Linked DNA regions of Drosophila melanogaster. The protein of the gene in region 1 interacts with the protein of each later gene in a pairwise test. Each region holds a gene or a part of one and is shown on either strand. Other genes may lie near its edges.

What was found.
Region 2: the proteins of CG1578 (region 1) and fand interact in a two-hybrid assay, tested with the Drosophila melanogaster proteins (one large-scale study listed by BioGRID).

The regions. Positions count from the first base shown.
Region 1 is NC_004354.4:11,813,539-11,818,272, reverse strand, and holds the start of CG1578 (uncharacterized protein), read left to right. Parts: upstream 1-1,721; 5' UTR 1,722-1,847; exon of another isoform or gene 1,848-1,851; intron 1,852-2,529; exon of another isoform or gene 2,530-2,733; 5' UTR 2,734-2,988; coding exon 2,989-3,103; intron 3,104-3,391; coding exon 3,392-3,576; intron 3,577-4,734.
Region 2 is NT_033778.4:13,591,889-13,597,058, reverse strand, and holds fand (fandango), read right to left. Parts: upstream 3,416-5,170; 5' UTR 3,334-3,415; coding exon 3,289-3,333; intron 3,231-3,288; coding exon 1,200-3,230; intron 1,137-1,199; coding exon 561-1,136; 3' UTR 502-560; downstream 1-501. Other genes in the region: S-Lap5 (Sperm-Leucylaminopeptidase 5), read right to left, coding at 1-237. UniProt on the Drosophila melanogaster protein: Subunit of the NTC(Nineteen)/Prp19 complex, which is part of the spliceosome. The complex participates in spliceosome assembly, its remodeling and is required for efficient spliceosome activation. Essential for efficient pre-mRNA splicing.

The DNA.
Region 1 (4,734 bases):
CAATTTCTGCTCTCTCCTTCTCTTTGCACTGCTTAGCTTCCCCATTTTTTTCGCTCTATTCTTGGCTCTTTGTTTGCACAACTTACACGTCTGTGATTTCGACAGAGCAAAAATAAACAAATAGTTGCATAAATAGAAGATATGATTTTCATATTCGTACACATATGTATATGCACGATTTTCTTTCCTTTTCTTTTTCAATTTTTTTTTTGCGCGTCAAACAGAAACAACTAGAAGAAGAAGATGAAGAACTTACCACTTGCGTTGTTGTTGCTGTTCGCTGGTTGAATCAGCAGCAGCTGAAACACAACAACACTGCCACTCGTTTCGCTCGTTCCACTTTTCTCACACGTTCCGCAGAGCGCGCGCAAAAACAACAACACAAACAAAAATCATATGTTTCAGCTGCTCGCTCTCCTACTCTCTCTCACTTGGTCTCTCTTTCTCACTTTAGCTTTTGTTGTTGATTTCCTTTATGGTGTGTGCTTTTCGTCAGTTGTTGCTGTTGTTGTTCTTAGTTCTTGTTTGCAGCTCCTCTTTATTATTATCTTCGGTTGTTGCAGGCGGCAGCAGCAGCAACAAAATCTCCAATTGCGTCTTGCTCTTTCTCTCTCTTTTGCTCCGTCTCCCCCTTATGTTGTGTTTATATGCTTCTTATTATTTTGATTTGCCACGCCCTCAAACTGTTGTTGCTTAATATTGGGCGTCTACTAATTAATTACAAGCTTTTTCGAGACGCGCAGCAAATTCTCAACTGCGGAGCTCGAGTTTTGTTTGAAAAAAACTGAACTATTTTTTGTATGTTTCTTCTTCGTCTTCCTCTGCCGCTGCCGCCGTCGACGCAGAGCCCTATTGCTGGCTCACTCCCACTCGCGTTCACAAATTCACGCACACGCACCAATACAGACACAACGACTGCGCTGCGTCGTACGTTTTACTTAAGTTTCCTTTTCGTCGTTTTTCGTTTATGATTTTGTTATTGTTATCGTTGTTGTTTTTTCTGCTGCTGTTGCTTACTGCCAATGTTGTTGTTCTTGCTGCACAAAAAGTAACTGCGACATTAAATCTGCAAAACGTTCGCCTTGTTTTCGTACTCTCCCGTTAACTTATATACATAGGTCTTTATATATATATATATGTATATATCGATTAAGAGACGATTTATGCGTCGCAACAGAAAAAAAAGAAGAAAATAACCAAGAAACTCTGCTGCCAGAACGAAAGGGAAAAAACTAGTACTAGCTGGTCTGACTGCTGGCGAGCGTTTGCCTTTATTCGTGCAATATCTTTAGCGGACACTTAGTATTATTAATTGTTATTATTTTGGTTGCTGCGCTGTTTCTCTCTCTGTTTTTTGTCTCGCTCTTTTGGTTTCTGGGTGCTATGCCAGTGTGACCGTGCAGCTGTAATATGAAATACCAAATTTTATATTACAGCATTCTGAGTGTGACCAGACTTTATATACGAGTGTATGTCCTTGTAACGGATAAATCTAGTTGCAGTCTATTTATTTAAAATATTAGCAAAGCAGCTTAATATGAATAGCTAACGGCTTTTAAAATATTAAAACACAACACCATATGCTCTGAAAAAACGTATAGTTTCACCACCGAATTATTCAGTAATAAAAGTAATTATTTTAATTAGTATTTTTTTTTTCATTTTCAAATTTGAGCTTTTGTAGCATTATTTAGTATCTAATTGCCCTAGGCCGGAACCGATTATTGAATTCAGACCACCGCCATTTGGCAACACTGGCGCTGCATTAGCGGCAAAAAAGATTAATTTGGCCATTTACGTTGGCGTAAAGTTCTGTCGCACAACAATTATAAAGCTCGACCAGCTGGGTTGGTAAGCGTTCATGATCGCTCCCGTTCGCCGCAGCATTACTCTAATCCTGTCCAGCGGCATATTTTTGCACAACAGCCACATGGCGCATTAAGTTTGTTGTTTTTCGAAATTCGCAAAATGTGTGTTTATTGCGGTTGTGCTTACGTGTGTGAGTGTGTGTGTGTGTGTTGGGTTGTGTTTTGGTATCCAGAGTGAGTTCATCCAAATGGGAAAAAAGGAAAGGAAATGAATAAAGTGTTATATGTTGAAAATAATATATTTGGGTCAAATCTGTGGGTTATGTGTGTGCGTGGGTGTGATTGTATATAAGGCACATTCGTTTTTTTCCTTGATTTCCTTTCGCCTTACTTTCGTTTTCTTTGCGCTTTCTTGTTTTGCTGCTCCGCATGTTTGTTGTTGCTGCTGCACGCGCTTCTTCTGCCGGCGCAACTAATTCGATTTATTTATAAAACGTAGATTTATACATGTTTAAATATTCTGCTCTAAACTAAAATGCAAAATAAAAGCATCTATCTATTCGCGCGCGAGCGCGTATATGATTGTGTGTGTGACCTTCGTGCAATTTTCCAATTGGGAAAGGGGAAGAGAACGAAGCAGTGGCGAAGGAGAGGATGGCAGCCGGAGAGCGAGGTCCTGCGATAATGCAATCAGATCGCCTGTGCATGCGTGTGTGTGTGGGGGTATTTTCGCAGCTTTAATTCAATTTCTCCGAGCAACAAGCACTTACGGTTTTAAAACAATTACACACGGGCACTTTTACAGTTTGAAAGCTTTGTAATCAGGCAATTTACCTCCTCCTTCCTTACCAAGCTCCTCCATATTTATTTGTTTTTTTTTTATGGTGTGTGTTTTTCTACTTTTCTATCGCTATGTCTTTTGCAGCACAAGAACGGCGGAGGTGGCGGCAGAGAGAAAAGAGTGAAAAACAAACCAAAAGACACGGCAAATCAGTCTAGTCAACAAAAGCAGACCAAATGAGCACGCACTTCGGGACTAACGAGCAGCACAAACTAAGCCAAAAATAAAGCTAAAGATAAAAGAGAGGCAGAGGCATCACACACACACACACACCCGCACGCACACACACTAGCACAAGCCATTACACTAAGCGAAACCGCATCGGAAATCGGCTTCAAGATGCGGGTAGTGGCCATGGTCAGTGGCGGCAAGGACAGCTGCTACAACATGATGCAGTGCGTCGCCGAGGGCCACGAAATCGTCGCCCTGGCCAATCTGCATCCCAAGGACAGAGGTGAGTCCACAACGATCACTTAGTCTTTAGCTTAAAGGATATAGAAAACGTACCACATCTCCTTTGTCCCACCATGATTTCATGACTGAATTCTGAAAGAAGGATCACATTAATGTTGATAGGCACATATGTATATGCTTTCAATTTGGATTCTTCTGACAAACAGACAGTGCCATTTTATTGGCACACACGATATTGGTATTCCTATTTGCACTATCATTTACCACCATTACGCCTTATTTGATCTCTCGCCGCTGTGCCTCTTCATCATGCATCTTCAATTTCCAGACGAACTGGACAGCTTCATGTACCAGACGGTCGGCCACATGGGCATCGAGATACTGGCCAGCGCCATGGGATTGCCACTATACCGGCGCGAAACCAAGGGCAAGAGCACCCAGACCGGCAAGCAATACGTGCCCACCGATGACGACGAGGTCGAGGATCTATACAGTCTGCTGGAGACATGCAAGGTGATTGATTGCTTAATGATTGGCCGGTTCCAAACTCAAACCCCAATCCCGAACCCCTTCCCTAAATTCTGATTAATATGGATGATAAGGAAAGCGGGGGAAAATCGACTGCAATTGCTGTGTTGTTGATACTCTTGTTTTGCTAAGCGCTCCAAGTTCCGTATATAATACATAATTGATTTTTAATATATATATGTATATATATATATATACACCGAAAAAACGAAAATGTTGCTCTAGACAGTTTAAAAACTATATTCGTTTCTTTTGAATCTTTACGTGCTTGAAAATACTATATATATTAGTGGGAAATGTTTTTTTTTTCTGCACGTAATAGTTTATAATTTTCATTCGTGAGCCTATCAGTGATCAGCGATTTGGTTCGTCTATCCGCGCTTGTTGTGCCATGTCCTTGGGCTCCTGGTCGTGCCCACTCATCCGCGTTCCAGCGCATCAATCAACTGCAGCCCAGATTGCAACTGCAACCGCAAACCACTCGGTAATTGGGTGGGCGCAATCGCATTTAAATATTCACATACTCCTATATGTATATGTATGTATGTACATACATCCATCCATTCGCGATGGGAAGGCGCCGGTGGGTCGGTGGGTCGATGGGTAATCTTATCGCGATGCCCAACCAATCAAGACGGGACGAACCGAACTGTTGCCGTGCACGTGAACCATTCCACCGGGTTAAATAAGTAAAAACAAAAAAGGAAAAAAAAAACACTCAAAATAGTGATACAAAAAGTATTAAGACCGCAGAAACCAAAACAATAACAATGCAAACCATGAGTATTATAATATATAATCATACAATTTGTTTTTGCACCATGATGGGGTGTGTTTACACTTTGGCAGGCCTTATAGGCATTATAGTATTATTAACTGAAGTCATTAGTATCAGTATCGCCTGCACTCACAGTGTAATTACATTTTTGCATTCGCTTAGCTGATATCGTGCATTACAATTTGATCAGCTTTGAGCTGATAGGAAATTAATTACGTTGAAAATATGTCGTATATAGGAACTAATAATAATTCACTAAGATAGTGGATTCTATACACTTTTTATTGATTATGACGGCATGCCCACGATGACTTTAAGATCAACTATTAGGTAGGGTTATTCCATTTTGGTTCTTATAGTTTTCC
Region 2 (5,170 bases), on another chromosome or scaffold:
CATCTTGACCTCCTTACCGTCGCCCTCCTTGGAGTAGACGCCCACCACCACGCCCTTGATAACAGTCTTGTTGTCACACTTGTCTGCTAATCCCCTCCAGATTTGAGAATCCGCTGGCTGAAGTCTGTGGTTAAAAAGTGGTGTTCCAAACAGATTGTACGATTTCCAGGGTGCCGTGACCTGTTGATATAATCTTGGATTGCGCGTAAAAGCACTGATCATGCGTGTGGATGCCATCTTCGAGATACACGGTGTGTGGTTAGTCCTGGTTAGTCCGCCCTTGCGCACGTCTGGTTAGCTTTTTTAGATCACGAAGTGCCTAACAATTTTGGAATGACAGTTGAAAGTGTGTTCCTCTGTTTGGCCTAAGGCTATACTAACTAGATCATCCAAAACGGAGACAATATCTAACAGGCCCCCTTCGTTTGACAACAATTAATATCAAAGTACCATTTAAGAATCTAATTGAGGCCAGAACATAAAAACCGATCAATTACAATTGTAAAACTTTCGACATACATGTATTTACCCCGAAAAAAGTCATATATATGTATAAACATTTACTCTCCATCAGAGTCGCCTTGATTTGAGGGCTTGAGGCTGCCGAAGACCTTGGCTGGAATGGCCTTTTGTTCGAAGCGCAGTTTCTTCATGACCAGGCCTTCCTCGTCGGTTTTCGTGACCGCTGCACTGGCCTGATTCTCGTTCGTCATCTCGTTCTCCTCATCGTCGTCCTCCTCCTCATCGTCCTCGTCGCTGTCTCCAATGTCGATCTCATCAGGATTGACGACCGTATCCTTTTTATCCTTAGCACCACCCTGAGTCTCACCGCGCACAAACATAATATTCGAGGCCGCCTTCTCGATGGGCTTCTGTTTGGACTCGGCTGCCGCCTGGCGAGCTTTCTCCTCCAGCAATCGCATGGCATCCGGTCCAGCTCCTGCTCCAGCATCCGCAGCCGCTCCGTTGTTTGTGCTCAGGAATTGGGCGGCCATCATGTTCACCTGCGTATTGTAAGTGGCCTGCACAGAGCGCTTGATGCGCAGCATTTCGCGCATTGTGTCTTCGTTGCCGTGACGCACTTCGAACTCCTTCCAAGTTTGCCAAAAGTCTGCAGTGATGCGGGGATCACAAACCTGAAGAATGCAAACAATAATTAGATTAAGTGATGCATTAGAAATCTATATATATTATCATACCTGTGAGCAATGAGCATAGATGGCTCTAGCTCGATCCACTTCGCCCAACTTCGTTTCCAACTCAGCAAACTTAACGCACATGTGGCGCATATTCTGCTCGGGCAGCGATTCGATGGCCTTCTCATAGATCTCGCGGGTACGTGGCAGGCCATAGATCTCGGCTGCCTTCTTTATAAATATGTTGTACATGTCGAACATCTCATCTTCTTTGACAGCAGACGTGGCACGATCATAGACCGACATGGCATGCCGGGCGAGACCGTGCTCCTCTTCCAACTTAGCATACAGTAAATAAAAGTACTTAGCATGCTCGGGAGGACACTGATCCAGGCACTGTTCGAAGAGATCTCTGGCTCGCTCCAGTTTTGTGCCGCCATAGCGCTCCAAAAATTTGGTTAGATAAGAGTTCCAAATGTCGTAGACATTGGGCCACTTGAACAGAGAGATGCCCTTCTCATAGGCTCGGTAGGCTTCCTCAAAGTAGTTGTGCTCCTCGAGGAACATTCCGTAATTGATAATGATCTGTGGCGTACAGATTTTCAGATCAATAATCCGCTCGTAGACGGCTTTGCACGTCTTGAATGTGCCGAATGACTCCTCCAAATCCGCGTACATGGACCACACTTTTAGCGAGCGATGAAGGCGCGCCTGCACCGTTTCCGTATCATCATAATAGGCAATCTTTCGCTTTGGCATGGCCGTCGCCCTTTGCATCAGCTTGAGTGCCGCCTCGAACTGCTGTTGCCGTAACTCCATCTCTGCCCATTCGCACCACACCGCCGCCAGATCCTCTACTTTAACATACTCAACCTCAGTGCCGCGTTCGAAGACCACACGAGCATCCTCCACCTGTCCGTTGGCCTCGTAGAACTTGGCGAACTCCACCCAGAGAGTGTGTAGTTTGCCGACCGCCTGCTTCGGCTGCACTGTTTGCACGGCCTCGGTGTACGTACTGATGATCTCGGCGGGCTTGTCCTCGTACAGTGTCACCCGCTTGTGCCACTCGTGCACGTTGTGCGGATTCTGGCGCAGAAGCACACTATTCAACAGCAGCAAACGGCGCTCCATGAGGTATTCGAAGCGTGAGAGCCGCAGTTCAACGTCAATGTCGTCCTCCTCGGTGGCCGCCTCATTGGCAGCTACCTGCTCCATACGTCTGTTCAGCGAGAGTTCCTCGAACTGTGCGTATTCATCAAAGACTTGGGTGAAGTCTCTTACGGTGGTCACAGTTTGAATGGCTTCCTCGTATATATCTCTTGCCCGATCAAATAAGCCGGAACGCACATAGTAATCCGCCAGAGAGTTCCACAGGTGGCCCAGCTGATCGGTGTAGCGACGCAGCCCACCGCGAATGATGGCGTCCACGTTCAAGGAGTGCACCTTGTGTGGATTCTTCGAGATGAGGTCGCACAATTCGTTCCACAGCTGATGATTGGACTTGCCGTGTTTGGAAACGAAGTGCTCGTTGTCGACGATGTGCGCCAGCTGCTGGGCAGCTTCGTCCAGCCGATCTGCTTCCTGTAGGTAGTCCACATATTCCTCTGTGTCCTCGGGAAAGAGTTTCAGATATCGACGGTAGACTCGCAGTGCTGTTTCCGGCATTTCAAAGCGGCGTACAAACTGCAAATACAGTGGCCAAATCCTGCCGTGCTGCGTGATGGGCAGAGCCCTTAGAGCCCGATCGAAAACGTGCCGGGTGCGGGTAATCTTGCATTGCGAGGTCATGAAGGCACCGTAGTCCATCCAGATACGTGGCATTTTGTGCATAAACACCAGTGCACGTTCGAAGGCACTGTTGACCTCCTCGTACATGGGATCCGTGGGTATCTTGCCGCGCACCTGCTTCCTGCGAGTTCTCAGGTAATTGTGCCAGATCTTATAGCTGCCAGGAAGCTCTTTCAGAGCACGCTCATAGACCATGTTAACACCATTATTCGGCGCCTTCGCTTTGTGATCAATGTAGCGCAGCCAATGTTTTACGGAGTAGGCGTTTCGAAGGATTTCCTCCTCATACGGCACATCCTCCACTTCCTGTGTGTGAAAAACTTGATAGGTTAGTTGTGATTTACATATATTTCATGGTACTTACGAAATTGATCTCTAAATTCAGAGATTTTATCGTTTTTGTCACCATTTTTCGCGATTTTCATGAAATGCCGCAAACAATAATTTTCTCATGCGCGTCCCACGAAAACAGCTGATCGAAATGGCGTTGCCAGAAGGTTTGAAAAGTAGTGGTATTAAGATACCGCAGCTAATACCAAAGTAATTAAATCCTAATTAACATGTAAACAATATTTTAAGAATACAGAAAAATTGTTCATAAAACTAAGATAACTTTGGCTTGTGTACATTTTTTTTACAAATTGTGAACATCTAGAATTTTCTAAGTGCACCTTATTTAAACGTTGAAGTTATGGACAAACCAAAACAATCGTGAATTTTCTAGAGTACCATTGCGGTATATTTTGCCTCCCTTTGAATTGGTATTTCGCCCTTCGTCCGCTGCCCAACACTGGCCTCAGTTTGTGAATTTTTCGTAAGCCCATCTGCAGATGTTTTCGTCGCTGCTGCCAATATTTTGACGTTCATACCGTTTGCGTATTTCGCAGAGACCAGTTAACGCGCTCGTAAAATCGCAAAAAACACACTTAACGCGATCGTTTGTTCTGTTTTTGTAAACACATTGCAATTGGCCTGCATTTTGCATAATTTACGCAACGAAGGCAACTGCGTGAGTGCACCAACACACACACACACACACACAGCCGTGCAAAAGAGAGCCAAAGAGAGTGAGGAGCGCAGGCGAGTTGGCAGCCAAAGGCAAAAAATCAAAGTCTATCGAAAAAAACACTATAAAAATAGATCAAAATGACGCGCTTGAAACATTTCTCAGCATAGAACGACTATCAATCGAATTAAGTTTTAAGTAATACCCAACGACCGTGGAAAAACCAAGCACAGTGGTAAGTAAAAGACGAGGGGAAAACACGAAAAAACACGTCACACGTGTGCGTGTGCTTGCAAGTGTGTGTGTGCGAGCGTGTGAGTGGGTGGGTGTCATAAATATTTTCGCACACACTTGTTCCTGCATTGATTTTATATTTTTCGCACAGGCTCAAACTTGTGTGTGCCGCCGCACTCCAATTGGTCCAGGTAAATCCAATTAGACTGGATCCTAGGTAAAAAAAAACCACCACCGGAAAATCTATTTCCCCGCTTCCCGAACAGCTGTTTATGATGGTTCTCAAAAATTTTCCACTCGCTCTTGTTGCCCGAGGGAAAATTTTGGGCATTTTAGGGCCTCCCGTATTGAATGTAAACAGAAAACACACACGAAAGTGCGGAAAAGCGCTTAGATTTTCCTTGCCGGCTGTGGCCCAATATCTCTCTCTTTGCCACCCCCTCTCTTCGCACTGTTGCCACCCACTAAACTGACACACTAAGCCGCCCGCCAGCAACAACAGCAACAACAAAGGCGGCTAAAACCACTGCAGCTTTGAGCCGCATGCAGCTTTTTTAACTGCCAGCGGAAAAGCTTTATCAATTCAGTTGGCTAAAATCCCAGCAAAGATTCGGGTTTATTTCAAGGAAAACTTTTAATTCTTAAAATTAAAAATGCCCGTTGTTTTCAAATGAGATTTTTTAAAATGATTATTATGTCTAAAAATTGTAAATAATCTAAAAGAGTTGAAAAAACCATAGCATATTCACTTAAAAATAGCTTAAAAACATTGCTAATTATAAAATATCATATTGAGATGACTTCTGCTAACAATATTATATCATATTCAATATTTTGCCCACTGAGAATGAGAATGTGCTGACCACAATTTCCCCTAAGCCACCCACTGCACTTCAACGAATATTCCAGAAACGCTCGGAGAAAGCTTCTCTTGGCCAAAAGCAGCTTTCCTGCCGCTTTTTATAGTCTCATTTATTGATTCCATTCCTCTCTTCTGTTCTTATTT